2 linked regions of the Lepisosteus oculatus genome follow. The protein of the gene in region 2 interacts with the protein of the main gene of each other region in a biochemical or structural test. Links are inferred from orthologs where the notes say so. Each region holds a gene or a part of one and is shown on either strand. Other genes may lie near its edges. The genes, in order: ibtk and btk.

Region 1 (15,652 bases), on a different chromosome or scaffold from region 2:
AGAATCAACTTCCTTAGCTCGTACCTTAACGAGCGACATGAGGCAGTGAATGTGGCCGTAGAACACACTCCTGTGCAAGGCCGTCCATCCTGATTCCTTGTCCTTCGCCAGCAGGTCTGCTCCTTTCACCTCCAGGAGCCAGTCCAGAAGGGACTTTTGCCCGAGCGAAGCTGCAAAGTGAAGGGCCGTCCGGCCGAACTCATCCTTCAGCGTGGCTGCATTGTGGCAACGGGCTGTGAGAAAGGCCTTGAGCTGGCTTTCTGTGCCCTTGGTCAGCGCAGAGATGACCTCCCGAGCGTGCTGAAGAGACCGGCACTTGGTTGTGCAGTCTGGGGGCAACAGGCTCATTCTGAATTGCCTCAGTGAGTCAGTCCCCGATTTTTCCTAGCAATACTTTAGTAATCCCTACTAATCCTCTCCAGAAAAAGAGGCTAACTCTTACGCTGGGAAATATGGTAAGAACCTGAGCCAGAAAATCAGCAGGGTGCTAGAACTGTGCTTGTGTTAAAATCCCACTGCACGCTAGCAACCCCACATTGCCCCTTTTCAGTTCATTTCAATCCAGCTTGAAAACTGCGATACGCAGAACATAGTAGAAGAACACATTTGGCACTTTATGCAGCATCAATAAATAAAGTATAAAAGTTTAGAAATATATACTTCTGTTTTCAATTTACAGTTTTGAGTGCTGTTTTATTTTCAAGTGTTCCGCAAAGGCAACAATTCTGACAACCTTCAATCAATTCTTTCAAACGAAACCATCCGGCAAAGGGGAAGAACCCCTTTCCCCCCCCAAACGCTCAAATCCTTTTAAGCCTCCATGATTGTAGAGGGTACCTAAAAGGAAGTGGAAAAGAAAACTTGTCAAGCTTGAGGCAAAAACTGAACCACCTTTACTGTCTACAGTGGTTTCTAACTCTATACAATTACTGAAACAATTTAAGAGCATATGATTTAGGCAGAACACTACAGTCACAACCACAAGTGAAATAAGTCTATTAAATTGCCTGGAATGTCTGGTACTGCTCAATAAACTGCAAAAATGCCTTCAAGTCCCCGTCCCAGCATAAACATTCATTTAATGGGATATTTACACAAGGGTCAGGTCTAAATGCAAAAGTCTGGAATTCAAAGAATAATGAACAAATAAAGTCTAAACAAATAATGAAATATAGGTTTCAATTACACTTCTAATAGGCTATCTGTGATCAGAAATGAATTCTGACATTCTGTACATCATTCAGTAATTATATCTTGGCCTGTATGACACATTTGTAATACTATAGAAACATTCTTTCTTAATCACTGTTCTAACACAAAATTCCATTAATACATCTGAAACAAGTTGAACTCAGATTAAAAATATCAATGAATTTACAGAGGAAAGGACAAAATAATTATTACTTTCAAATCTTTTTATAAAATCTACAAGTTACTAACACAACATTGGGAACAGAGAAAATTTCTGTGGCTGGGATATAAAAATCATGTTCAATTTCAAATTCTAACACTACAAAACAATTTCAACCCTGCCCTGCCAGGGAGTATAGTACTTTTTTTAAACATGTACCAAGAGTTTAAAAGAGAGGATTGAAGCCAAGACCTCTAAAAGACCTGTTTTTTAAAAACAGAGAAAGCAGATTTTTCTAGCTTTCACAATAGCTGGTAAATTAAGAATATTTTTCAGACCATTTGAAAGTCCAGCCTCTCCAGCTTTCCTTTCATTGTTATTAAGTAACTGGCCTTATTCTACAACTCGTCCTAATTAATGTACTTTAAAAGAGAATGTTATATATTCAGATGTAAGAAAATTGCGCTTCTTAAGTTTAATGAACACTCAAACATCCTGGACAGTAGTAGTTAAGATCTTTCAGCTAATAAACTAGAGTAATTTTAAAACACTGCTTCTGAACCCCAGTCCCTGAGGACTCCTCTATCATCAGATTGGTATTCCATCTGAGAAACGAAATGTCCCCTTCAACTGAACTGCTGGCTTCATTAGACCTTCCTGAACTGTTTTCTGCACGACTGTACGTCTCTCTGGTTTCAAAATCACCTTGCCAAGAAATTCAACAAATATAAATCTGCTAATCTTTCAGCTTGCCTATTCAATTTCTACTCCCCTATAAACTGTATGAACATGTCTTAATAAGTGGCCAATTCATGATGAATAATGATTCAGGAATAACACAGACTCAGCCACTGCCAGATCATTCAGTCTTTGCTCTCCATGTGTCCCTTTTCCAGACACATAAACGGGAGGAGCTCTGAAAACTCAAAAACTGATACAGGTTTGATGTTAATTCCTAACCCAAGTCTATGCTTCAACAGCAAAAAACAGTTTAGAAAATAAAAAGGTCTGATCAAAGAAGTATAGTAGTTCAGTTCAAGGCTTTAATTAGCCTAAGCAATTAAAAGCTCAACTTCAATGAAAGCCAGAAGACAAAGAAGCACACCAGCATCACAGTTGAGAACCACTAGTTAATTAAAAATGAATAATCATTACTTACTTATAATAGTAATAATATTTGTCTTTTGAATTAACTATGTAGCATAGATATATTCATATTCCATTGTGAGATTTTTAAAATAATTCACAATATATCTTTTCTACTTATTAGTAACTGTTTGTTTTTATGCATTTATCTAAGTTTATGATAGTGTTAGACTGTTTTGTCTATTTCAAAATATTTGTCTCTCATGTGTTCCATTCAAAATGTTTGAGTAGTCAGTACCTAATGGGTAAATGTCATTTAAGGTGATGAAAAGCACATATGCCTGTACACAATGGGATTGCAGTCAGATTTTGATTGGTTGTCTTGGTTGACATTATTTAGGGTTATAAACCCACCTGTTCCTCAGGCAAAGGGGAAAAACAGCAGTAGACAAGGGAAACAGAAGAAGACAAGACTACAGCCAGAGGTCACCAACTGCAGATATTAGTGGAGACTCTAGGAACACATCTTCAGCTCTACAGGTAAAAATGTAGGCAACCAGACAGACATTACTTCTTAATAGTAATGCATGCTACTGTAGTGTTAGCAAACTTAACCATTTTCAATTTCATTAGTCACCTTCACTGTACATTAAAAACTCAACCTTGCTGCCTGGGCACATCTCAGATAGGCCAAAGTGCTATATGTATCAACTGATACAGTCTAATTAAGCTAATTAGAGTTTTCATCTGACTGTGGGGAATGATGCTACATTCTTTGATAGTCTCCACGTCCATCTCCCTTAGGGTTTGCGGATGCCTTCAAAGACCCTGAACATGATAATCAGTGCTGTCCCAGAGATACCAGGTCAGACAAAAGTAGGACACTATCCTACTAATCACTTTCTGGAAGAATTGTGGTTGATTTTTTGTCTTGGAGTGACATATAATCACTAAAAAGGTTAGTGAGGATAAATATCTCTAATGTGGCATTCTTAAAACAACACTCTCAAAGATGATGGAAGGGTCTTAGCAGGTCTAATAACTCTGAACTATCCACTTTGCAGCTTATGACCAATTATCTGTCAATTTGCTTGCCAACATCTTTTGAAGCTTCAGGTGTACTAGAACATCATTCCTTTCTGCTTTACACAACCAAAGTAACATAAAACGTAAGGGACAGTTTTGTCATTTTCCAACCATCTCTCTAATCAAATACAACACATATTCAAAAACACTATGTTAAAAACACATGCAGACTACATGTACAGTATCTTTTGCCAGGGAGTATATCACACTGTGTTAAGACAACTTCTCATCAGCAGCTGAGAAAAAGAAGTTGTAAAATTTTAAGATATCATATACTTGTACACTCATGTATAATCCATCAGAAGTTATTGAAATTTCAAGATAAGCAAATGCTTCAAACAAGTTTTTGTTGTATGGCAGGTGCTTTGTGAGAGAATTAAACTACTATCAAGACCTGTGTAATTCACCAGAACAACTGGTTTCAAACCAGGCTGTGGAAAGCATTTAAAACGTTTTTCAAATGATGGTTACTTTAACAGTGCAGCAAGTTTGCAGGACTCATGGCTCATACAAAAGTCTCAGTATAGCTGTTGGTATTTATCAAAACAATGGCTGTGTTTGAAGTATGACTGATAATATGGTTACAACAGTAATGAGGAAACAGGAAAGAAATTCCACCCAAAACCTGAAACACACTACCACCGAACCCAGTAGCATCTGCAATTCAAGACATGCCGGAGAGTACATGGACAAAGATTCAAAGCCAATAGAAACTTTTCAGTCTATAAGTATCTTATCCCTCTTCTTGCAGAGACAGAGGCAATACAATACCACACAGTTATTTAAACAAATACATACAGATTACTGTATTTATTCACCAGCATTCTAATTTCAAATCTGATTGATGAAAAGTACTGGTAATAAAAAGCTTCAGATTTTTTATTATTAAAAACTCTATATCGTGATACATGTCGTTACCATCCAAAATTAGAATTATACTGTGATTTAAATTTTAGGCCATATCGCCCAGCCCTATTTTGAAGTGGTGCATATATCAACTGTCACAAAGCAAAAATGTCAACCTTTTTAGACAGAGATATTAAAGAACCTCACAGCAAACAGCTCCTAAAAGCAAACAATGTACCTGACAGTGCAGATTCTGAGTCATTCTGACTAGAGCAGAGACATTTGCTTTGTTGGACTCTTGTGACAGCACATGCAATTTTTACATCAGATAGGATGTTGCCAACATTGAGTGATGAAATTTATCTTCAGCTTTCAACAGATTCAGTCCCTCTTCTGAATAAGTGTACCTAACGAATTATATAATGGAAGTACAAATTCTAGCTGTATCCTTTTCAAATCCATTACAGTTTATAACTACCTCACTGTCTGGCACAGAACAGGAATGACCAGACTTGACTTACTGTGTATTGTGCAGGTTTTGTGGAGCCACCCATGTTTAAGGTTTTAACACAGGAGTCTCAAACCCTCATCCTGGAGAACTCGTCCAGTTAATCCTATAGTGCACCCTATCACCTGTATTTTTTTAATTATTTGATCATTTGAAAGTTTTTGAACAATTTATCAAGTCATTGGTGATCCCTCACAGTCAAAGAGGGTCTTCCATAAGCCCCTAGGCGCCTGATCATTCCGGTACAGGATCTGCACTCTCTCTCGCAGGTTGGGTGGGTGTTGTCTCTGAAGATATCTGGTTTTGTAATGCACATTCTGGTCAAGGTGAGACATTTTCACTGTGCTTTCTTATTCTGGTCTCTTTGAGTCTGAAAGTGCTGGGCTCCTTCCCAGATATTATTCCTCCAACCAGTTCGTTCAAGGGCCATAATACTCTGGGAGCTGATATGATGCAATGCAACATTTTACTTTTACCATATATTAAGAAACCTACACCTGTCCTCTGGTGCAACTGCCCAAAAGAGAACCACCTTTTGAAGCCTGGATTCTGACATCTGAACAACGTCAACCAAATAGCAGAGTTTATAGTGTCAGAGCATGTGCTGTCTCCTGGGGACAGGACACTACTGTAACGCTTCGGGGCTCAGGCGGGCGCCCTTGCCGCATTAGGTCGGCCCCCCACCGTCGGGGACTCGAACCCGGGATTCACGCGTCACTCAGCAGGGAGCCAGCCAGGTGAGCTCAAGAGAGATCTCTCCACAGCCCAGGGGCTGTGGTCCTGCTATCACAGGGAAGGGCGGCGACGTCACCGCTCTGGTAAGCCGGCTCTTACACAGTACCTGTCGGCCGTATGCGTTACACTACATTGTTCACATAAGGTAACTCAGGTCCTTGAGATCTGATGTGTCTTGTTCCAGATGTTGCCTGTTGGTCGGCGCTGTTGCCACGCTGAGTTTGAGTCCAGTCTGGGGACCTGCTGTGTGGAGTTTGCCATGTTGTCATCGTGGCTGCATGTGGCTCTAACAGGCGCTCTGGTCTCCTCCCTAGGGTAGCCGGCATCTCTAAATTGTCCCCGGTGAGCAGGATGCCAGTCCATGGCACTTGTCCAGGGTGGATCCTGCCTTGCGCCCACTGTCAGGTTGGGCTTTGGTTCAACAGGACTCTGTGCCGGTCTAAGTGGATTTTGAAAATTGATGTTTTCTAAGTTTCTTAATTTTAACAAAATATCCACTGAACAATGTCAAATTTTTCCAGGTCTTCAGAAATGTATAAGTTAATGATTACCTATAAAACCTCCTAAACAGAGACTCTCCAGAAAGAGGGTTGGAAAACCCTGCTTTCAAAAGTCACTTCAACCAACACTTTCTGCTCAACTAAACTCAAATCCCAAGTTCAACAGACTAGTGTCTTACAGTTCAGTGCATCTCTAAGCCTTTGCAATGATTTCATCATGTTATATCAATGTGAACTTCATGTTAAGCCTACACAAGGAAAGGACTTGCAGCCCCTCCACAATATTAAGATTCAGGTTGGATTTTACTCAAAGTAGCCTAAATGTTATGTTCACCAACATGAGCATGTCTTTGTTTAATAATTCGTTGACAGAAAAATCTTTCAATAAAAGGGACAGAAATCTTGTGACATTCGAAATGTTTTGAAGGTTTATCTTTAACTAATGCATGCAACTTCAAAACCTCAGTGCCCCTAAATTGTGTCCTGGGGGTATACCCACTATATATCATTGAAAAAATACGACTATGCTCCGTTAACATTTAGGTCGGCCTTTTTATCTTATAGATATTAATTGCAGGGAACGTACGAGAATAAACGTTTGTGCCTTCCAGTATGTACTGTACTGTAAACCTGTCCATACAGTTCAGTGGTTCATTAGCACCGACGTTCGTATTTGTTTGGCAAAACTGGTTAAGAAGAAGCCTGTGGAGCATCACGTGCAAAAGGATTAACTAAAATACTACAAAGCAGGCGTGTGAAAATTGTCACCTGATTCGTAAAATGAAACTTTATAACAAACAGTGCAAGTTCCCATGGGTCAAAGACATACATATTGTAAAAATTAAACTTTATTAAACGTATTACACTAGGACTGAAGGTGACAGACATGTAAATGAGACAGCACTTTTCTAGCTATATCCCGAATTCCTTAATAACTCCTAAAGTGTTAATTGAATGAGTAAGCTAAAATATTTCTCTAGATAGCCATTGCAATTGGTATAACAAAATAAAGGTCTTCGTTATTCAAGTTGCACTGAATATTTTCGGCGTCTAACCAGCACTTACGCAAGTTATGTATTTTCGATTTGTTTTTTGCAGGGACACTTTCTGTGGTGTCTGAAAATAGCTTGTATTGAGTAGGATACGTTAACTCACTGATAACATGAAGTTCAACACTTAACATGAGAAAGATTACAAAAAATCTATCCTACAAGTGAATCTTTTTATGGTACTGTTGGGGAAGGATAATGACCGAAATGGGGTGTGAACCTCCACGCATGTTAAAAATATTTATGTAATACCGAAAATGTTCATAAAGCCAGACTGACTTGACACATCATCACTATGGATTGTACTCGTGAACCAGTTTTCAATGTTGGCAGAAAGCTTACCTGTCGCTAGTTGAAGGCGAAAATGGTGCATTGGCCACTCTCGTGGGTACTTGTCCATAAACTCATTTTTCAATTAATATACTTCGTACGCTGTACAAAATAAGCTTTTGACAGTTGCACTGCAAATTATTAGTTAAGCAAGAACCTCTCTTTGCCCATCAAACTTAAGAGACCGAATAACATGAAGCCATCTGATTGGTAGAAAAATCTAGCATATTATTTCGCCATTGGATAAACAACAGGAAGCTTTAAAAGGCCTTAAAGGGGCCGTGTACCCTCTGCCTTGGCCTATTTATACACATAGGTTTGACATAAGTCAATAGGCACTTCAGTTTGGAAACAAGTCAGCTCTGGAAGAGCCCAGGAGAGTGGAGCGGCTCTGGACTTGTAAACAGAGCCAAAATCCTGTGTGGCAATCCAGGTGGGGCTGCACATTGGTGGTGGTGGAGGGGAGTAAAATGCTTTGAATGGAGTGTCTAGAAAAGCACTATATAAGTGTAAGCAATTATTAAATGTGAATTGCTGGGGATAAAATAGTTGGCTCAATAAATTAGTAATAAAAGGACTGGGATAAATGATTCCATAAATATCTTAATTAATATTTAAGAGAATACTCTAGCGCTCTATGGTTCACGCGGGTATGCGCCCTCGCCACTGCCGCCTCAGGTTGGCCCCCCGCCGCTGGGGACTCGAACCCGGGCCTCTGGTGTCACTAAACAGGGAACCAGCCAGCTGAGCTAAAGGGAAATCTCCTGTCAGCCAGGGGGCTGAGGTCCCTGCTATTCACAGTGAAGGGCGGTGACGTCACAGCGCTGACAAGCCAGCTCGCACAGCCTCTGATGTTGGCCGTATGCGTTACAATACTCTCTTTTATCAGTTTGCTTTATGTGTGTCAGGAATACTTGTTTATGGCTGTGTTGTGTAGTTGAGATAACAATCCTAAACACCAGCCCAATTTGAACATAAAGGAGAGAGTGGATTTAGTGGGGCAGTTTGGTGGGGATAGAGCAAGGTTAGTGTTGTTGTCTGGTAAATGATATATGATGCCAGGCATTACATTTGTTTACTGTGTTGCAAGGGTAGTTTTAACTGGGGATTTCTTATTTCCACGAAAATACTTTATAGGGTAATTTTCATAGGTAGGCAGAAGCTGTGCTCAAGCAGTCTAGATGTTTCAGACTAATGTCACTTTTCCTTTCCAAAGTGCCCACAGAGAGATGTATGTGAAACAGCAAGAATTTCTTCCATATAAGATGAGAGTACAATAACCACGGAAGTTCTAGATTCCACAAGAATTTCACTTGCTGTACATCCATGTTGATATGGGACCACTCTGCCAACAGCAGTAAGAGTCACGTAGCTTCTTACAGACTGAATTGTTTATCCTGCTGTTTATTATCTACCAGCCACTGCATTGAGTTGCACTTAGGTTACATGGGTATTGTTGCCCTTCACATAAACTCGATGGTTTTCTATTTTTGTCTTTATACAATGCACCAGAGGTACATTGAACAAATCTTCATACCTCTTTTCAGGTTTCTTGCATCAGTTCTCTTTCCAATAGTACAACACAATAAGGAATGTATAGTATATTCTACTTCTTTATCGTGTGACATACAGTACTTATGTCAAGGGTCTTTATTATACCAGATGATCTAACGTTTTGTTAAAAAGATACCTTATGTGGATGAAAATTTGTCATCAACTGTGTTGGTCGACAGTCTCAACAATCTCCCAGACTAGTAGCATAAGTAAACATGAAAATACCGTTCAGCTATAGTCACTGATTCACCATTTTATTGTAATGAGAGAAACGAATTCCCAAGCTATCAAAGCATTCTGAAACAATATCATTTGTTTTCTAAGTATGATGCAATATTCCCTAAAAAACACAGTGGTTCTTTTAATCACACATATCCAAACAATCTTTACAAATATTGAGAAAAGCAGCAACAGTCGAAACACAAAAGGAACACAAAAATATAAAAATCATTTATTTGAAAGGTTTATTGGATTTGTTGACTGATTTGAGAAAATTGATGCTTATTCTATCTATGAAAATATTAAACTTCTCCTTAAAAAAAGATCTGGGATTGCAAACTTGCCAGTCAAAGCTTAGTGTTATGCACAATGTTATGGCTGCTCCTATAACAGTCAATGTAAAAAAGAAAAAAGGTGCTGAACAAAATGCTGCAAGATCACCCCGTGCTGCAAATATACACTGCATAGCTCATAAATTGAATCTGATTTTAGTCAAGGCTTCAAAGTAAATGACGTAGCAAACGTAGCAATTTGTTTGCAATCTGGAGGATGTGTTAACCTTCCTTTTACAGCCTAGCATGCATCATGCCTATGTACTGTATGTAGAGAGCCACAATAAAGGAGAGACTGAAAGTGAACATCATGTTATTGCCAGAAGATTTTATTTAAATTAATTGCATTTTAATTAACAGCTAATATTTCATAATTACTTATAATACTAATGTTTCTTTCTTCTTCATTTTTAATACCCATACTCAAATATGCAGGGCACTGCAAAAGCATCTTAACCCTATCTGTGGTGTACAATTTGGTGAAATTATGAAACGATGCATTCACATTTTCTCAAATGTAGTTTTTTCAAAACCCAAACTCTCAGAGTGAAGATCTCTAGGAGAGAAAAGAGAAAAGTCTATGAAGGGTATTCAAGTATTCAAACTTGAAAATTCAGTGTTTGTTGAAAGCACCTTTGGAAGCAATTGCAGATGCAAGTTTGTTTGGGTAAGTCTGTTCCCGATCTGCATACTGGCGATGAGCATTAACCTTGTCTTCTAAAGAAATGACCATGTGGGAAAATCCATCTCCCAACATTACAGAACCACCAGAGCTCTTCGCTGTTGGAACCGGCAACACTGGGCTGTAGAGTTCTTTAGATTTGCGCCACAAGCGCTTGTCCGCTTGCCCAGTGACAGATTGTGAAAGATGATTCATCTGACCATATCCCATTTCGCCATTGCTTGGCAATCCATTGACCATTCTTTTTGGACCACTGGACTTCGAAGCTTGGATTTCCGGGTGTGATGAGCAGTACAGTGCATATACACTGCATTCTGACTATGGAGGTCCTGACAGGCCGTCTTTGACAAAACTCACTGCTTATGCTAGAGGTTGAAGTCTGCAGCCAATTGTTCTAGAGTTGCTCTCTTGTTTTGTTTTTGTCACGGATGTCGGAAGGGACGAACCGTGGAATGACAGGAGAGCAAAAAGACCCTATACGTAGCAGCGAGACGGGGGTTAGCCCGGCCTCAGCTGTTCAGAGAATGCCATATAGAAACCTACAGTATGCCCTCAGGTAGCAGACGTGGGACAACCTGGTGCCAGGCGGGTTTCAGGACATCCGAACGGCAATGCTGAGCGCCGGCAGAATGAAAGACCCGGAAATATATAGCCCCAGAGAGAGACAGGACAGAGAACGAGTGCCCTCTGGCTACAGAGGGCATGACAGTTTTGCATTTCAAACTAATGCACAGATATCACGATCCTGGAGTATGCACTTACGCCCACTGTTGCACTTGGCTTTGACTCTTTCCCTCTGAGTTACTGTACATGCTGACACCTCCTTGGACACCATTGCTAGTGAAACATAAGCAAGTTACGCTGTCTTGGAAACTGAAGCTCCTGGCAAGTTGGCTGTAACAGTCACTTCTCATTCCAGATCACCGAGTTCTCATCTTCCGGACATGTTGGCAATAATTTTAGGCAACCAGCATTTTTATACATGATCTTAAGCATGCTGGTGTAACCCTGTCTTAAGGGGGCCGGGTATTAGAATATTAGTATTATTAATAATGGTATTAAGCTATATTAATAACAGATTATCAATACTATTCATAATGAACACAATTGTATATTGATAATATTATAATATTAATAATATGATTAGGTATTAATAGTATTAATATACTGTATGGGAATTAGTATTAGGTATCTAACTACCAGCCTGCACAAGGTACTATTCCCGACTCCTGTGCCCCACACCTCACCACCTGGTTACACTGGGATATGATTTATTGACAGTAATTAATGCATAAGCTTTACTTATTTGGATACCCTAGCTTTCAATATATTTGGTCTATTTCAAAGTGTCATAGCTGCTCTAAAGCAAGAAAATATGAAAACTTTGTTTTGAGACTGAAAAGTTTTGTGATTTAATGGACATTCGACAATAACAGACACCCTTCTCTTTTATTAGTCCATTAAACAGAGGATTTTTTGTATATCATAATTGAGCAAAATGAGACTTTGTTGGGAGGAGATGAATGCTCTTGCAAGGCACTATATTTTGTAAAAAATGTTTTCTACTTGAAGCTGATTTTGGTAGTTTAGTTTGCCCTATGTTAAACAATTCACAGTTAAAAAAGTTTTAATTATTGTAGTCACTGCCTTTAAAAGTAATTAAGACAAAATTAAGTATTCAGAAAATATATTTTAGTAATTGCTTGTGATCTAATGTTAAACGTTTATTAAAACTTGAATCTTTGAGATTATCTAATTATTCACACGCCTTTTATCTATGCTTAACATACTGGAATATTAAAAACACTTCAGCTCAAAGAAGTACTCATCTGACATTCAAATGGGAGTGGTTTGGCAGACCAAAAGGTCATTCTTATTTTCATTTAGAAGGGTTATAATTTCTTGCCAGTTGTCACAAGTCCTGATGAAACCTTTAAGTGGACCTAAGGACATACAGTAGGTGGATTTTTGAGACAGTCTTTCAATTTCTCTCACTTCAAAGTTCTCACTGCCTTCAAACTTGTCTTTATAGGTGTCAGCAGAACCAGTTATGGGAATTAGCCCAAACATTGGCCAGAAAACACAGCACAAGCAAGCTTCGGGTACCCTTTCTAGCCATTTCCCTTTAAAAGCGTGAACAATATACTGTAGTCCTAAAAAACAGCTCAGTTGTCTGCAGTCTTTATGAATTTCTTTGCTACGCCAGGTTCAGTGTCCTAGGAGCATTAGATAGTTCTCTAGTGTATCACAATGCCTGATGCACTCCTCCTAAAATGACTGTCAAATTTGAGACCTACAGTATGACTGCCCTCAGCTGGTTTAGCCCAACCATCAGTGCAGGATGCTGGGGTAAGGCAGCTAGCACATTCAAACATAAGCTAAGAGAAAGAGGGGAGACCTTAGTGCAAGGTAAATAGATCTATTTGGACATTGTGTGCCTCCACCTTGCATAACATTGTGCAGTTATAGTTAACTTTGGTTAGAGTGCCCTGTTCATTAAAGAGGACGGGTGGTTGGGATACATAGTATTGTTTAAAACAAAGGTCACTACTGGAAGAGGTGTTAGTGGGGCCAGCAGGGGGCACTCACCCTACAGTCCCTGTGGGTCTTAATGCCCCAGTATAGTGACAGGGACACTATACTGTAAACAGGCGCCGTCCTTCAGATGAGACGTAAAACCGAGGTCCTGACTCTCTGTGGTCATTAAAAATCCTAGGGCATTTCTCAAAAAGAGCAGAGGTGTAATCCCGGAATCCTGTCCAAATTTCCTCCTGCCCCTTACCAATCATGGCCTCCAAATACCCTCTATGAATTGGCTTCATTACTCTCCTCTCCTCCCCACTGATAGTTGATAGTGTGGTGAGCGTTCTGGCGCACTATGGCTGCCGTCGCATCATCCAGGTGGGGCTGCACATTGGTGGTGGTGGAGGGGAGTCCCCATTACCTGTAAAGCGTTTTGAGTGGAGTGTCCAAAAAGCGCTATATACAGTAAGTATAAGCAATTATTATTATTATTATTATTATTATTATTATTATTATTATTATTATTATTATTATGAGTGCCTGTGCACTTTTAGGAGAAACAAAGACTTCAATTCAAGGTATTGTAGTTGTTATTATTGCTTATTTGATACTATCTACTTAAGATCTTGATCTTATCTTTCAGATAAGAAAGTTTAAAGAAAATTACTTTAGAAGCTCTATACCTTCAGTTGGAAAAACCTGCACCAGTTCTGTTCACGTTAAACATTTCAGCAAGTGGTAGCTTACTGCCAGTTCGTATGATATCTAAAGCTCTTCGGTGCCTAGATGACGTGAAGCACCGCTCGGTAATATTATCACAAAACTGTTATGTTTGGATAAAATCTGGCAAACAAACAATATAGAATCTATTACATTGTCAATAGCATTTATCAATGCTTTTCATTGTATCACCTTCAAATTGTTTGGTTGGGGGAACGTCAAAATCCGATACCCAGAGAGCTTCAGATATTGTTTGCAAGACTGCTCAGTAGATATCCAGCAAGGGCTATGGTTAACATTCACACTCTACTTAGACAATTTGTAAGTTCAGCGCTGGATGTTGGGGCCCAAGTCAACTTTAAGACAAGTGCTTTTTTGCTTCTATCTGAATTTTTTTTTCGGAGACTCTTCGGTGCTCGGATTGCGTGTAGCTCCGCTCGGTTATTTTGACCTAAAACTGTGTTGGTCGTATCGAAACTTGCAACCAAACATTACAGAATCCTTAACATTTGCAAGAGCTTTTATCAATGCGTTTTATTGTATCACCTTCAAATTGCTTGGTTGGGGGAACATCAAAATCCGATACTCAGAGAGCTTTACATATTGATTCCAGGACTGCTCTTAGACACCTCAGCTAGGGTTATGGTTAACATTCACACTCTACTTAGACAATTTGTAAGTTCATCACTGGCTTTTGGGGCCCTAGTCAACTTTAAGACAAGTGCTTTTTTGCTTCTATCTGAATATTTTTTTTCGGAGCCTCTTCGCTGCCCAGATGGCACGAAGCACCGCTTGGTTATTTTGACCTAAAGCTCTGATGGTCGAATTAAATGTTGCAACCAAACATTATAGAATCTAATACATTTACAGATGCGTTTATCAATGCTTTTTATTGTGTCACCTTCAAATTGTTTGGTTTGGGGAAATTTTCAAAATCGGATACCCTGAGAGCTTCTGATATTGATTGCAGGACTGCTCAGTAGACACCCCAGCTAGGCTTAGGGTTAACACTAACAGTCTACTTAGACAGTTTGTAAGTTCAGCGCTGGATTTTGGGGCCCAAGTCAACTTTAGGACAAGTGATTTTTTGCTTCTATCTGAATTTTTTTTATCGGAGACTTTTCGGTGCCTAGATGGCACGGAGCCCCACTCGGTTATTTTCACCCAAAGCTGTGAAGGTTGAATGAAATGTTGCAACCAAACATTAAAGAATCTATTACATTTGAAAGAGCATTTATCAATGCTTTTCATTGTATCACCTTAAAATTGTTTGATTGGGGGAACGTCAAAATCCGATACCCAGAGGGCTTCAGATATTGTTTGCAAGACTGCTCAGTAGATATCCCAGCTAGGGTTAGGGTTAACATTCACACTCTACTTAGACAATTTTTAAGTTCAGCACTGGATTGTAGGGCCCAAGTAAACTTTCGGACAACTGGTTTTTTGCTTCTATCTGAATTTTATTTCGGAGACTCTTTGGTGCCCAGATGGCACGGAGCCCCGCTTGGTAATTTTGACCCAAACCTGTGATGGTAGAATGAAATGTTGCAACCAAACATTATAGAATCTATTACATTTTCAAGAGCTTTTATCAATGCTTTTCATGGTATCACCTTCAAATTCGTTGGTTGGGGGAACATTTCAAAATCCGATACTCAGAGAGTTTCAGTAATTGATTGCGGGACTGCTCAGTAGACACCCCAGCTAGGGTTAGGGTTAACATTCACACTCTACTTATACAATTTGTAAGTTCAGCTCTAGATTTTGGGGCCCAAGTCAACTTTAGGACAAATGATTTTTTGCTTCTATCTGAATTTTTTTTTTTCGGAGACTCTTCGGTGCCCAGATGGCAAAGAGCTCCGCTTGGTAATTTTGACCCAAAACAGTGATGGTCGAATCAAATGTTGCAACCAAACATGATAGAATCTCTTACATTTGCAAGAGCTTTTATCAATGCTTTTGATTGTATCACCTTCAAATTGTTTGTTTGGGGGAACATTTTAAAATCCGATACCCAGAGAGCTTCAGTAATTGACTGCGGGAGTGCTCAGTAGACACCCCAGCTAGGGTTAGGGTTAACACTCACAGTCTACTTAGACAGTTTGTAAGTTCAGCGCTGGAGTTTGGGGTC
Region 2 (15,671 bases):
GGTTTATTGTTATGTTGTTGTGTGCAGGCCGAGTGGGAGATGTGGGTCTGGGCTTAAGGTCATGAGCTGCTTCATCACTGTTGCCTTCTGAACATGCCACGAGTCTCCGAAGGGGCCAGAGGTGGAGGAGTTTAACTAAATGAGGAAGAGAAACTGACTCAACAGCCTCCAAATCGAGGGACTGACACATGGAGGGAGAGGGGAGGAGCACAGCTCACAACATGACACAGAGGAGCGCGTCCTTTTTTTACTGCATAATAAAAAACATGTCCATTTCCAAGAGAAACCACTGAATTGAAAAGAACTAAAAGACTGAAGTGACGCTTCTCTGCTTTGTTGTGCTGCTTCCCTATTAGGGATGAGCTGCTGAACAGTTTGGGTGTAATGTGGAGGTGTCTGTGGAGCAGGGGTAGGTGTGGTGTGATGTGGGGGCAGCTGTGTAGCAGGGGTAGGTGTGGTGTGATGTGGGGGCAGCTGTGTAGCAGGGGTAGGTGTGGTGTGATGTGGGGGCAGCTGTGTAGCAGGGGTAGGTGTGGTGTGATGTGGGGGCAGCTGTGTAGCAGGGGCAGGTGTGGTGTGATGTGGGGGCAGCTGTGTAGCAGGGGTAGGTGTGGTGTGATGTAGGGGCAGCTGTGTAGCAGGGGTAGGTGTGGTGTGGGGGCAGCTGTGTAGCAGGGGTAGGTGTGGTGTGGTGTGGGGGCAGCTGTGTAGCAGGGGTAGGTGTGGTGTGATGTGGGGGCAGATGTGTAGCAGGGGTAGGTGTGGTGTGATGTGGGGGCAGCTGTGTAGCAGGGGTAGGTGTGGTGTGGTGTGGGGGCAGCTGTGTAGCAGGGGTAGGTGTGGTGTGGTGTGGGGGCAGCTGTGTAGCAGGGGTAGGTGTGGTGTGATGTAGGGGCAGCTGTGGAGCAGGGGTAGGTGTGGTGTGGGGGCAGCTGTGTAGCAGGGGTAGGTGTGGTGTGGTGTGGGGGCAGCTGTGTAGCAGGGGTAGGTGTGGTGTGATGTGGGGGCAGCTGTGTAGCAGGGGTAGGTGTGGTGTGATGTGGGGGCAGCTGTGTAGCAGGGGTAGGTGTGGTGTGGTGTGGGGGCAGCTGTGTAGCAGGGGTAGGTGTGGTGTGATGTGGGGGCAGCTGTGTAGCAGGGGTAGGTGTGGTGTGGGGGCAGCTGTGTAGCAGGGGTAGGTGTGGTGTGATGTGGGGGCAGCTGTGTAGCAGGGGTAAGTGTGGTGTGGTGTGGGGGCAGCTGTGTAGCAGGGGTAGGTGTGGTGTGATGTGGGGGCAGCTGTGTAGCAGGGGTAGGTGTGGTGTGATGTGGGGGCAGCTGTGTAGCAGGGGTAGCTGTCCTGTGAGGGTAACATGTTTGGGAAAATGGCTGCAGGGGCTGATGGGAGCTAGGCTGCCACTCCTGCTGTATACCTGGAATGGGAAGAGCCGGTCTGCAGGAGCGTTCTCCTCTGGAAGCACCGTCTCTACACATTTGATCTTCTCAACCTCCACGCAGCCTTTCAAACTCTTCCTTTTCTGAGTGGAAAACACACCATCAGATTACGGCAACAGGTGAGCTGCAGCGATGATGATTTACCGCAGCAGCACTGCCATACTGTGATCAGGCATCGTGTTCTCTGGATGGTTCATTCATCCTGTCAGCACACTATGAAGGAGCCTGACTCAAGTAGTCAAAATTGTCAGGCACACTGAGAAAGCCCTTCAGAATCAACAGTGAAACACGAACCAGAGGACACAGCTAGCAAGCTCATACAGCAAGTAAACATCAAGCATCGAAAAAGCCAAGACATTCATCCTGATGATGGATCCCCCTGCCTCCTCTGGGTTTATACAATCTACTGTGGTGAGCGCTTTACATACCCCTTTATCAAAATCATAGTCATAGTAGCTTATCTTGTCATTCGTCAGAATAAAGAGCCTTTCCTTGTAGTTCAGCGGTGAGGTTTTCTTCTTCTGCTGGGAGCGTTTTACAAAAATCTCTTCCAGGATGTTTTCTGACATGGTCTAATCCTACAGCTGAGGGTCTACCTGAAACAACAGGACAGCAGTCCTTCACTTTGCAAGACAAAGAATCAGTTTCTCCGCAGGGGACCAAGCCCATCTGCTGGATATGCAACATGACCTTTTCAAACAGGGTCTGGACCATCTCAAACAGGACCATCTCACTGTGATCCCTGCACAAGAGTCCTGCACTGGTTGTTTTAAATCGATAGCATGCTGGCTGCAGTGACTCTCTTCACGTAATTCTACATACACGATGCTGACAGAAATGACTCTAAGCAATGGCTGTAAAACTTGTTTGAGAGTGACCATTGGAAATGCAATATGATACCATTGAGCATTAAGGTATTTTGCACATCACCCTCTATGTGCATGACCAAGCAGCGCAGCAGGACCTTCCAGAGCAAACCAGGGAGGCAAGAGCCATCCACTTAAGATAAAGATCCAGAAAGTACAGCTGCATTCTCTACAGTGTCATAAAATAACTATGGCTCAGCATGGGTGTATAAGTACATTTTTCCTATCAGACATTTTTTTCCAAATGTCAAGGCCGATATTGCCCCTAAGTTCATACAATGTGTATTAATTAATATTATTTGCACCCTCACACAGATTAGATGATTCAGAAAGGACGTGCAGTACTTCAAGTCTAGTCATTAATGGCACAGGTCTCCTGCAATCGTTGGTGTGCAAAATTAGCTTCCTGGCTTGAGCAGACTTTCAGTGTCTGGGAGACTTACTGTATACTGCACATCAGTGTAGCACAAACATAGTATCTCACCCTTCCCTTATGTGACCATTGTGAAGAGAGAAGGCCCTTTCAGCATGCAACCTTATTAATTATACATTTAATTTTACCATCTTCTTCTATCATTTAGTAAAAAGGAAATATGTCTTGCAGATTTTATAATGCTAACCAATACATTTCTACATTTAAAGTACTCTCTGTGTTGTGCTATTGTGTTGAGCACCTTATTGCATATGTTATTTTATTAAAGATCTGGTGACTTCCACCTACAGTAAACCTGCTATAGGCCTTGGCATGTCTCCATGGGATCACACACACTCTCTCATTAGTCACACCCACCCAGCACAGTTGCAACTTTCACACTAGCATCTTAAAGCTGTTAGATCAGTTCAGAGATGGTGAAATGTGTTACCTCTAATATAGACCTTCTCTCATGTACAGTATGTTTTAACCCATTACATCCTATGGACTAGTCATCCAACCTGTCAGCACATTATGAGGAGACCTGATTAAAGTATTCACAATTCTCAGACACTGATAAAGGCAACCCAATGGGTTTCTTTGGTATCAACAGTAAGGCCTGTTGAACCAGAAGACATCAGTAAGAGTGCATTTAACCAATACACAAGATTACAAGATATTAATCTTTACACAAAGTGTAGTGGGAGTCTGGAATAAGCTATCCAGCCATCCTGTTGAAGTTCAAACCCTGGTTTCCTTCAAGAAACATTCTTATGTTGCTGTAACATGACTTACCTGCTGGTGATGGGCTTTCAGGAAAGGCAATACATCTGGGAAATTCTCTGAATGAAACTGAAATGAAAGATATCTGTGTATAAATATAATAGAATTTGCATGTGCCTCTTATAATGCAAATAATGTCCTTTTTGAAAACATTTCCTCATAGAAGTTTCCCCTTAGATAAAGCTTCCTGGGCTTTACATGTGTTGTAAATACTGTAACTTGAATGTAACTAGTGAACAACATTCTAAATTTCAACATCTAAACTGCTCGTGTGCATTGATAAAGATTCCATGTGCCATCCTTATTATTTGAATATAAATGTGTTTTTTTTCAGACATTGTTGCATATATTTTCCTGGCACACAGAAAGTTTAAATATTCTTTTTCACATTGCTGTGTAGAAAGTAACAGTTGGCTACTTCCCAACATTCATGAACAGCTTAATAATTATTTTGGGCACATAAATAAACCATCTAAATTTCTAATAGAATTTATTTATTATTGATGAAAAGTCCAGCCAAAAACTGTTTAGTCAGAGGCTCTTGTATAATACAACACATCCACTATTTACAAGAACCATTTTCAAACCATTAAACAAAACAACCAAATAAACTTACCTTGAATGGCGAATTCATTTGCATTTGTAAAACACCTACAGTCTGACCATTTACAGTAAGCACCTTGTGCGTGGTGAAACTGTCAAAGCCATATGCAAACTTTGCTAAACAAAAGAGCCCAAAAAACAAAACAAGGTTTGCACTTATTTTTCATGACAATGCAGGCTAGGTTAACCCCCACACTTGCAGTTCTTTGTTACAACAGGACCACCTAGCACACATCTGTCATACTAATAAAGTAATCAAGGAATATGTATCTAACTCTCCTATAGACTTTTAAAAGAGCTCGACTGGCTGTTGTTGCACATATAAATGGTCTTGCATGAAATAAAAATAAAAGACACCAACAGTATTGGGGAAAAGGTCTGCAGTCTGTGCCTAGAATTAGAACGAGTGAGGTTTTGTTGCAGTGTAACAGTTCTCAGTCTTCGCTGCATTATCGCTGTGAAGTCAAGTGATGCAAGACTGGTGCGCGGTGCATCTCCATCGACACCAATCACTCCCAGCCCTCACCCCTCCTCCTCGTCAGCATGGCAGTCTTGCTCCTCCAGCTGGAGCTGCTCGGGAAACCCAGTGGAGCATCCTTACCTTTCCACATTACAGCTGCGAGAATGAAGATCTGCTCGTCTTTCTCTCTGAAGAGGCATGGCTGTCAGGGCTGCTGAGACGCCTATTTTAAACCCCTCTAACCATTTCCTGCCTCTTCAGTTGCTGATTATCACCTGCTCTTCACACTAATCATGCACTAAACTGCTGATACAAAGTGTTTTGCGTTCTTAGCTTTTTTTTGTTGTTTTTTGTTGCTGCCCTGCTGTAGGCGTGAACTATGCAGTATTTCCCCCCTCTGTCATTAAAGAAAAACACATGTACAGCTTGGGGACCATGCTGCCCTTATCCAGCAGCAATGTCAGCTTTTGTCTGGAACGAAGGTCCCAGCTCACAAACTGCTGCTGAATTGAGGAACCAGTTTCTGCCATCCTTGATTTTAGACTTCCTTTCTGCAGTCTCTTATCCCGAGTTCTGGCATGTTATTTGACAGGTTACCAAACTTCACCTTTAGGAATCCCTTCTGAAAGAAAGTGTAGCAGCACTGTTTTTAAGATCCTCTACCGCCCTTCAAGCAGAGTAGCTCCACACCACGTTATGGGGTTTGCCATGTCTTAGAGATAGACACAAGGGGGGCTTCTAGTACCCAGTATGAGCTCCAGAGCTGGCGTGGAAGCCACGTGCGTCTTAGGTATATCGTAGGTACAGTATATCCATTGACAGGCATGTGGGCTGAGGCTATCCTCCATTCTTCTCTACATGAACTGGGAGATCGTTCTGACCACCAGACTGTCCACTGTCCCGCTGGCGCTGCGGTAGTGAGCAGGGTCTTCTCCCACCTGTAATCAGGCTCGTGGGGCTGTGATGAGGACCTGCTTCCCCCGCAGACTTCCTGGCAATAATAGAAGCAGCAAGGGTGCTTCTAGTCAATTAGCAATCATAACAACAGCGAGTAACGCAGGGCACGCGGCCCACCGGACGCACACTGTAAAGTGACATTTGAGTCTTATTTTTTTTTTAAATTGCTGCATTTATGCCACTTTATACTTTGCAGCCTGGGCTTAATGGACTGCTCATATCAGTGGCTGGCCTATTTATTGTCTATTGATTTTACACCAGGCAGAAGATGTCCTCTGTGTGGTTAGTCCTCCACAAACGTTGTCTCTTTACATGAGTGATGTTTCCAGGCTTTGCCCTCTCTCTGTGAAATACAGTTTGGACTAAAGTGGTCTCACACTCAGTGGATTGATAGATTGTTTTAAGAAATGCATCAATAGCAGGCAAGAACCTACATCATTTAATTGGGATTACATGAGAATTACAGAACTTTTCTCTTACTGTGGTTCTAGATTAAATCTATCCTGAAAATACTGTTTATATAGAATACTGTGAAAGGACCTAGGAACCCCGAGATGCTAATATAAATATAAAAAAACTCAAATTTGAGATTAGAACCAGCAGTGTGGGGATCTTATCTGCAAAGCTCTTAGCATTTCACTTTGCAGACTGAGACAGAAATGTTTCAGATGTTGTAGTCATGTAGCTGTGTACAGCTCAGTGCGTGCAAAACATGCTGACACTCATCAGACGTGGTCTCTTCCATTGAATTGATTTTGTACATATTCAGGGAAGAATTCCTACTCCACTGACTCTGCAGTAATATACTGTATATTTCTTTATTTCTGACACCAGTGAGGAGATGTGTTGAATCTCTTGGTTTATATGCAGAATGGTACAATGAAGGGATGATTCAACAGTGTTCAGTTCCTTCATGTTCCTTTTCTCTAAGAAAGTTCATTGGAAAAAGTAACTAAAAGGAATTTCTAGCTTTTTGCGAGTTTCCTGATGCAGCGAAGATTAAAATAAGGAAAGAGTGTGTTTAAGGTGATAGCTGCTGTGTCTCATTAATAAAAACAAACATACTATGCAAAAACAAAAAAATATTGTTTCTGCTACCTACTGTATTAAAACAATTGTTAATCTGTTAGGCTCCCAGGTATCTGAAAATGCAAATTGTACATCCTGTATTGTTGATTTGAGGGAGTAATTTCCAGCTTGATACATGTGAAAGGCTCTATAAAGATGTATTTCAAGAGATATTACGGAGGGTAACTCCACAGATTACAAATGAATTTTGTCGCTCTCGGGCTCTGCCTGCCTAATCGAAGCACGTGCGCATAAAAGTCAGCAACACGTGGCCCAACGGTCACTATTCGGTTGTGTTATTCTTAAATCATTTTTTAAACATGAGAGATTTCGGTACACAAAAATTTGGTAAAATGATGAAAGAAGTAAACAAATGTTAAGTACTACTCCTGTTATTTTTGTTTTGTTGTTTTGTAAAAAGAAGCAGTTCCTCATTTACACTGTCCTCTGCTGCTCATGGTACTTTATTTTCTTTATAAAGACAAATCGTGAATAGGTTGTTGTTGCTCTCTTTCACAAATAACGAAAGTATTTCAAAAGATGTTACTTCAAGACGTAGATTATAAGAACAGCAAATTATTCACAGAACAACATCTCATTTGCTTCCACAGCCTGCTAGCTTCTTCATATATGGGTATATGTGATCACTTGAATCATTTTAGATAAATAGTGCTCATAGTTTTAAATCACATTTTGTAGCTGGTAGCATAGGATGGACCAAGCATAGAGATTAAAACCAACACAGACTGTAATGGCACCTTTTCTAAACTTTCTGGCATTATATGATTTGCAAAAGCATTTTAAATAAGCTGATTATTTTGTAGGGAACTGTCCTACTTAAAAAGCATCAGTGCAGATAACATTTGGAGCGTGTTTTGATATGAATGCACAATAAACACGACTTCATGACTTTTTTAAAGAAAAGAACAATTTACCAATGCCTAGCAGTGCTACATAATATTCTAATATTATCACATTAAAAGAACAGATTATCTCAGTGAAAACCAGGCCTGATGGCAGTGTACTTAGCAAGAGAACGTTTCTATACAAGAGGACGTTATTCAGCTTATCATGGTCAAATTGTTTGGTCAATGAGTGCAATGATATTTGCATCTTAAATTAAATTATCAGCAGTTTCAGTTATTATACTTCTACATTTTTTAGATGACCTAAGGTGATACTAAAGAAGATTATTTCTTTTATATCTTATTTACTAAGATAAATAAGGCAGATAAATAAAGAATAATAAAAGAGGTTATTCCCACAGGTTATTCCTACAGACCTGGAGCTACAGTACAGTATGTCATCCATTGAGCACAACCCTGCTCAGGGCACCAGGATCCACAAGTATCTGTGGTTGGCTAAGGAGCCAATAAAGTGAGGCTATTGTGTGGAATTATGACTGAACACTTCTAATTTAGAATTCCTCCTAAATAGGTTAATAAAAAAAAAACATGATATTTATTATTAAAAATATTGTTATTAAAAACATGTTTGAAGATCTGCATGATTTGAATACATTTACTGACTTTATTAAAACATTTAACATGTAAATTCATAGTTAATTACTAAAATTCAACATAATATAATTATTTTATTATGTACACCGTGCTGTTTAAGGGAGGGTATGCACACACAGTACTTTTTAAAATTATTTTCTATATTAAAATGTTATTTTCTATGTGTAAATTATGAAAGATATTCTTCCTTAAAGGCCATCTCCAAATCTAACCTTTTTGAATATTTACAAATAAAATCCGATAATTCTACCAGTAAAAACTTTTCTTTTTCATATAAATGTTATGAAACTGCTTTATAAATACAGAACTGCCAGCCTTTTCTAGCTGATGGTACGTGATACAGTAGATGTTGTGGTCTCTTTGCTGGTCAGGATACATCAGACAGAAATTAGATAACAACACTAAAACTGCACATTGAACCAACCATTTTACTTTCTAAAATGGAACGTTGCAGTTTCTGAAATCACATATTCTGCCACAGAGTGGGGTTAAAGTGTGGGAAGAGAGTCTGTCAATTAAGGTACAGGTCTGAAAATGCAGGGAAACAGACAAGTTTCTGCAGCTCACAAGATAGGATAAGAGAGCTTTAGTCTGTGCTGCTTTCTATGTTGATAGGCACAAACAAATAAGATAAAAATTATATAGACAGAAGGCTAAAGTTATTTTTTACAGCAATTCTATAGTTTTGTAAGAGTTGTAATGGTGTCCTGTACTGTCTACATTAGCCAAGGACTAGAGTCATTTCCCTCTGTATCTCACAGCTGAGAAAAGATAAAGAGACAAGCCACAAGTACACTGGTAGTCAGGCAAGGAGCAGAATTTCCCGTTTAGAGTCTGGTTGCATAAATCAATTTCCTGGCATGTTCTAAGAAAACGAGCATGTCTGCTTTCCAAAAAAAAAGTAAGAAACGTTCTGCATTTTGCATTGAAATGGCAATGCACCAGAAACTTGATCTTATTTGGTGTTTTCTTTATTAATGCCAAAATGTAACCATTCATCACACATTTCTAAAAGGAAACCCCAACCATGCTGCAGGCGTTAAATATATTCTCTAGAGCCGCTCTGAAGCCTTCACCACTTCTTTACCTCAAGCTCACAGCAGATGGATGAGCCCTGCTGAGCTGGTGGCGGCTCATGCAGCCTGTCATTTTCAGCTTGAACAATGACTATTGTTTGGATCAGGATGTCAGATCTTTTTATATGGGGGGGGATGGTGGTGGAGTAGTGCCTACAGTTTTTCCGTCTGTTAATAACACATTTGCATCGCAAAACCATTTTACTGTACCCTGCTTGCACAGAGTCTGCATACAATGTCCCCTTAATTACAGAAGTACAGGAGCCCGAACGTTAGGCCGACTGTCAGAGCACAAGAGTTACTCTTCTGAAGTCAGTTACTCAGCAGTCCGATGGCCCCTGATATGTCTGCAAAATCTGTTCAATTTCTGAATAATAGTAATGCAAATTCCAGAACATAGGTTAAAATAGAAATGAAAATACATCACAGAGCAGCTGGCTTTCTCAGAGAGCATTATCCTGAGGCAAAGAATCAGGACTAAGAGGACCAAGGGAGGACAGGTATCCAAGCTGGCCCGAAAGGAAGATTAAGATACTCCAGCACAAGAGGCAAATAGCATCCCTAAAATATTAATATTAAGAACCCTTTCGCTGAAGTTGAAGTTACTTTTTCAGAATAAAACAAAAAGAGACATCCATATTTTAAGAAAGGTAAGCCTTCGCTCCTTCAGACACCACAAGGACCTGTGAATGTGAAGCATCCTGTGACACACCCCTGCTGATGGAGGACTGAAACTCTTTCCCTTCTCCAGAGCTGAAGCCGGTGGCCTCCAGCAATCCTGCCCTCCCCCCACAGAGACCCCTAGTGCTAACAGAGCAGATAACATCAGCACACAGCTCTTACCTTTGCACTTGTGGAGAGCTCTGCCAGGAGCTGGGCTGCCTGCTGCCTGCTGCCCTCCGACAGATCACAGCAACACAGCTGTTCAGCACTAATTCCTCTTCAGGCTGTGACAGCAGACACCAAAGCCCCACCCTTAAAATAGGAACTAAGTCTGCCTAGTTCCCCTTTTGCTTCCTGCTTATTTTCATATTTGTTCACATTTTGTTGAGATATTCAGTCAGTTGAGAGAGGACAGACTACATATTTAGTGATTTGTGTCGTACCTTAACCCCTCTTTGCCTCTTTGGCATCTAATGTCCTTAAAAAAACCCTGAAGGCAGCAATACTGGTGAATTTTGAATGCTGACTTGTAGTGACTTTGCAACTTTTTAGTGATTTGAGAAAAGGAATAACTACTACTGCTTCAGGTATTACATCTGACACTGCATCGTCTGTTTGTCTGTCTGCCTGTCTTTCTGTCTCCATCACATCAAATCTAAATGAAGTCTTCAGAACATATAAGGACAAGTCTTCAGTGAAGAGAATAAGTGAGAACAAAATTTCTGCGGACCAGGGTCCTCACCAGACCTCAAACTCAGGACAGCCGATTTTAACCCTAACTCTTCACAAAAGTTCAAAATACTGAAAAACATTTCCTTGCTTCACTTAATATCTTGGGGATTGTCACCTGCCCCGGTTTCACCAGTGCAGAGAAACGTGTTTTTATACATGTCGGTTTTTTAAAGTTTGTTGTTTTTAATGGCATAGAAAAGCGAGAGAGTAGCCAGGAGACGACTCACAAGGGAAGCCTGTACTTAATATTTAATAGTTCAGGTGGGGAGCTGCGTCAGCATGCGTAGGCTGCAAAGGAACAAGTAATAGGTTTATTCCATGCTGAAAAGAGAAGAAAGAAAACACAACGTTTCGGCCGTGGAGCCTTCTTCAGGTGTGTCTGAAGAAGTGTCTGAAGATACTACCGCCTACAGCTGCTGTCACCCACTATGCCTTCCTCCAAATCTTTTTCTAGATCTCTTCGTCATACCTTCTCTTCCTCCCTGGGCCACTTGCCCGCTTCTCTCACTAAACCAGCATTCCGTCTCTTCACAGCTATCTGTTCCAAGACCAGGCTTTCTAAACACCTTCTATTCCTTTACAGATGTCGTCGACATAATATCATCCCTAAAGGATTTCGCCTTAAATTTCATACCTTTTCTTTTGATTCTGATACCACCCAGAGTAACACTCAGAGACTTCTAAAACAATTTTCTAGGAAACTAATGCTCTCTACCATTTTCTCCCTCAAAAAACAGATTATCCTTTCCGACAACAACATCAAAGAGGCTAAGGAATTTCTACGGCTGAGCTCCACATCATCTTCCCTTCATAACTAACCTCATTAGGTCTCTCAACTCTAAACTCTACCAGTTTCTCTCTACAGAGAAGGACAAAAAACTCAGTCATCTTCTACAGAAGAAAACCATCAACACCCCGAACACCCTCACCAACCCTAACAGACACACCTGAAGAAGGCTCCACGGCCGAAACGTTGTGTTCTCTTTCTTCTTTTTTTCAGCATGGAATAAACCTATCACTTGTTCCTTAATATTTAATGTCATGCATGGAAACTCAATAATGTTTGTGATCTGAAAAAGTGGTGGGAGTTTCAAGATGATATACTGCACTTTTTGCATAGAACAAAGCCGAGAGCAAAAACATCGCCATAGGTCGTTATCTGCGCTGTGATATTTTAATGCTAATTTGATTTATGTTTTTTTTTCTGCTTTTAATACGCTATGAACCAGCCGTTAACAGGCCTACTTCTCTTTGTGACACAGCCAGTAATCACAGACATAATTATTTGTAACATTTTCTCTGATATTTCACACTGATGAAAGTCAGAAGATGTAAGGAAACAGCTTTTCTTGAGCCGAGTAAAACTTAAAAACTTCTTTCCGCACTGGGAATTAAGTTGCGGCACATGACAGAAGCAGTTTTTATTGTCTTCTTACACTTCCTGAACGCTAGGCGGCGCGTCTCCTACAACCGCGCTATGAACACGAGTAGTAGCTTCCCCCCGACTTTTCATATATGCATCTGCTTCCGGGGCAGCTCTTCCTCTTCGCTTCTGCAACGGGTTGGCAATCATGGTAAGCGACACTCGGCTCTCGTTTCTTTTTTTAATCAATTGTAATCTTTCAACCTGAAGTTTCCCTGTAGCATCCAAACACAGTTATCGTGTTCACGAGTGTCTTGGCTACGTGTGGACCCCATTATGGCTGGTGTTGGGTTTGCAAAACTGAAACATTACGAATAAGTGTTGTATGCGGGGCCGAAAAGTGTAGGGTTAGAAAATGGCTGCCTTATTTTGTCGGAACGCTCCGCAATACGTTACCAAACTGTATTTCCCTTGGGCTGTGTGTTTAAACGCACATGTTTAGTACGCATGCTGTCGTTGCTGTGTGCTCTGGGTGGCGGATTTTGTATTTCCACGGAGTGGTGTTTGGGAGTTTGTGCTGTGTGGGTCCGCCGTGTGTCATTTTCACATTGCAAAGTTGTCTGAGCTTGCTCGTTAGAGCTGGTTTAATAAAGCCCACGGGCAGTCTTTGATTTGAACAGTAACACGACTGGTCAGGTCTTAGGGGGCAGTTGTACGAAAATGCTACTTTTCGACAGCCACCAATACGGGTCGGGTGGTAAGCTTGCTCCGATGGCTGCAGTTTTTTTTTGTTGCGAAGTTTACCGAGCTGTTTTCATGGAGCGGAGCTGAGTGGTTACGGGCGGACTCGGAAGGGACGTGTGAGACCACTGCGGCTGTAGTCCAGAGGCTGGCCTGGTCGAAGAGGGTGCCAGGCAGGGCTGGTTCAGATGCCAGTCCGACCCGGCCACGAGTCTAGGGGCTATGGGAGGACACCGGAGCGGGCAGAGACGAGCAGCATGCTCTGAGAGAGCATGCAGGCTCCACACAGCAGGACCTGGACCAGGCCGCGGAGCAGGCTGGGTAGCTTTAAGGAAGCTGCTGTTGGAATTAATTTAGGATCCTTCAGTGCCTGGACGGTCTTAATGCATTATCAGCTGGTAGCCATATGGTCATTAAAAGTTAGGGACAAATACAGAGACAAGTTTCTACTCTCGTAATGCTTAAAATGACCTGGTGTTTTCCAGGTCCTGTCCCCTAGTATGCTAAGGTTGAATAGCTGCCCCCTTTCTGATGTTTTTTCCCCTCTCATTGTGACGTTTAGGTGAACGTGCCGAAAACCCGCAGGACCTACTGCAAAAAGTGCAAGAAGCACCAGCCCCACAAAGTGACCCAGTACAAGAAGGGCAAAGACTCCCTGTATGCCCAGGGTGAGTGTCTGCCCTCGCATGGGGCATCAGGGGCCACACTGGCAGGACGCCCTGGCGCAGTAGCAGGGTTCTTTATTTTCTTCTCTTTCAGTACTGTCCCTTTTGTACAAACGTTGGTTTAAAGTCTTTTAAAACATCTAGTGCTTTTTTTCATTCCAGGTAAGAGAAGATACGACAGGAAGCAGAGCGGTTATGGTGGTCAAACGAAGCCTATATTCCGTAAAAAGGTATAAATGCTAATTATCACAAACTGATGAATTATACATTTTCCGTATTGCTTCACAGACATAACTTTGGTATACTATTTATCATCACAGTTTTATTTTTTTAAAATGGATGGTTTTGTCTTTTGATTACTGAGATTTGTGAAATTCTTGGGAATAACACAAGAGCTGTCTTTCATTTGTGTTGTGGTGTCGGAAATGAGTTTGGTTTCTGTAAAACGCTTAGCCTTTGTTGCTGCTCCAGCGTTTAGCCCTGTTCCTTCCTGTTGCAAATTGAGTGCCTAAAAATGGCCTTGTCTCTTCAAAACAGGCTAAAACCACCAAAAAGATTGTGCTGAGGCTGGAGTGTGTGGAGCCGAATTGCAGGTCCAAGAGAATGCTGGCCATCAAGAGGTGCAAGCACTTCGAGCTGGGAGGAGACAAGAAGAGAAAGGTAAGGAGCAAGCAGCCCCCCCCTCATTGGCCCAGGCCGTTCTGAGCAGCACGGCTCACCTCAGCACCTGACATTTCACCCACATGTTCAGGACACCTGCTTGTCTCTCACCCCAGCTAGATGGGGCTGGGATCATTTTTCCGAATCGAAATGTTGTTTTCCTTTAGAACTGACTTGTATCAGACATCTGACCATAAACGTCTTGGAGGTATTGAAGTTTGGAAGATGCCTTTTCGCATTTAAAGATTGGTGCTCAAAAGGCTCTTGCTGTTGCCATGGTTTGTTCTCTAATGCCGGAGATCTCTTGCATATTGAATGCAGTTTAAATCGATTAATGCGACCACCTCAGTAGAATGTTTGCCTGAAGAAGCCAATTGTAGTATTTAATTTGATCATTCTTTCTAAATCTTCTGTAAGGTGTCCTGTCAAGATACAGTAGATAGATGCCTATATGTTGAATGAAACTGTTTTGTGCTGAACAAATGAGGATTTAAATTTAAACTGTGATGGTGTTTGTCAAGTAAGAATTAAGCTGTGGGTGTAATATTGCCCATTCAAATTAAGTTTAAGTTCATTCTGCACATCCAGATGGTAGAAGTCCAGTATTCAAGTTGGACTGGTAAAAGCCATGTCTATGCTCATGCACAGAGGGTGTTGAGCTTGGTTGGGTGGTCATTTTGTCTGTATCAGATTCTCCGCAGCTACTTCTGACTGTAGCACTTAAGGCTGAAGGCTGACGGGAGCCTTACGGATTTCTCCAGTGTTCATGTAGCACTGCACAAAAGCAGATGTGACATTCTCTTGAGTGCTGCACACAGTTGAGCTCTCTTGTTTGTTCGGTGAGGAGAGCTGCTGTGCTGGGGAAGTATAAAGCTGTTTCATATAGCCCATGGCCAAAGATGTACTTTAGCCAATGCAAAAAAGGGAGATGCCAGACTGCTTCATTCTTGGGGTTAGCTTGTTCAGTAAGCATTTCACGAAGATTACAATGTGGTTAATATCATAGTGCAGTGTGTCAAAAGGACATTCTGTGACCCTAACCAATTTGTTTTAATGCAGTTTTTATAATATGTGAACATTTAACAGCAATTTGACATTTCCCCCCCATCTCTTTCAGGGCCAGGTCATCCAGTTCTGAGCTACACCTTTTTTTCTTGTTTTTTGGATATTGCAGCATATCAATAAAGAAATTGGTATGTACCATGAGCCAATTGTCATGATTTAAAATGCTAATGTCAAATTAGAGATCACTGAAACGAGGGGTGGTGACTGACCTGACACTTTACTGATGCAATACAGCTGAGTATTTCATGTATGAAAGTGTGAAAGACCTTAAAATTATGATATGAACAACAGATCAAAATGGGGATAGTAGGAAATCAGTTTATTTTAAAGAAATAGTCTTAACCCAAATCAGTTCGTACAACAAGCATAAAATACATTGTTCTGCAGCTCCCGGCCTTTCCTGAGGTAAATGTGATTTTGGTGTGTTGTGCAAATTCAGTAACTTACATTTAAAAAAATATATAGTCTAAGACTAAAATCACTAACATTATCAGTAAGGGTCAAAGCCACCACTTTTAGTAAAATCAAATGACATAATTCTTAAAAGTTAAACTGAACCAATGCGTACTGTCAAGAGTTCCCTTTTCACCCTTCTAATGATTC

Evidence for each region.
Region 1: the proteins of btk (region 2) and ibtk form a complex in vitro, tested with the Homo sapiens proteins (2 studies listed by BioGRID). The link is inferred for Lepisosteus oculatus from reciprocal best matches to the Homo sapiens genes BTK and IBTK.

What each region holds. Positions count from the first base shown.
Region 1 is NC_090697.1:31,160,699-31,176,350, forward strand, and holds the start of ibtk (inhibitor of Bruton tyrosine kinase), read right to left. Parts: upstream 7,692-15,652; 5' UTR 7,504-7,691; intron 838-7,503; 5' UTR 349-837; coding exon 25-348; intron 1-24. UniProt on the Homo sapiens protein: Acts as an inhibitor of BTK tyrosine kinase activity, thereby playing a role in B-cell development. Down-regulates BTK kinase activity, leading to interference with BTK-mediated calcium mobilization and NF-kappa-B-driven transcription.
Region 2 is NC_090703.1:50,874,575-50,890,245, forward strand, and holds the start of btk (tyrosine-protein kinase BTK), read right to left. Parts: upstream 10,131-15,671; 5' UTR 10,023-10,130; intron 4,882-10,022; exon of another isoform or gene 4,700-4,881; intron 3,565-4,699; 5' UTR 3,508-3,564; intron 2,031-3,507; 5' UTR 2,004-2,030; coding exon 1,863-2,003; intron 1,518-1,862; coding exon 1,413-1,517; intron 1,307-1,412; exon of another isoform or gene 503-1,306; intron 1-502. Other genes in the region: rpl36a (large ribosomal subunit protein eL42), read left to right, coding at 12,146-12,148, 13,241-13,346, 13,506-13,573, 13,881-14,003, 15,121-15,141. UniProt on the Homo sapiens protein: Non-receptor tyrosine kinase indispensable for B lymphocyte development, differentiation and signaling. Binding of antigen to the B-cell antigen receptor (BCR) triggers signaling that ultimately leads to B-cell activation.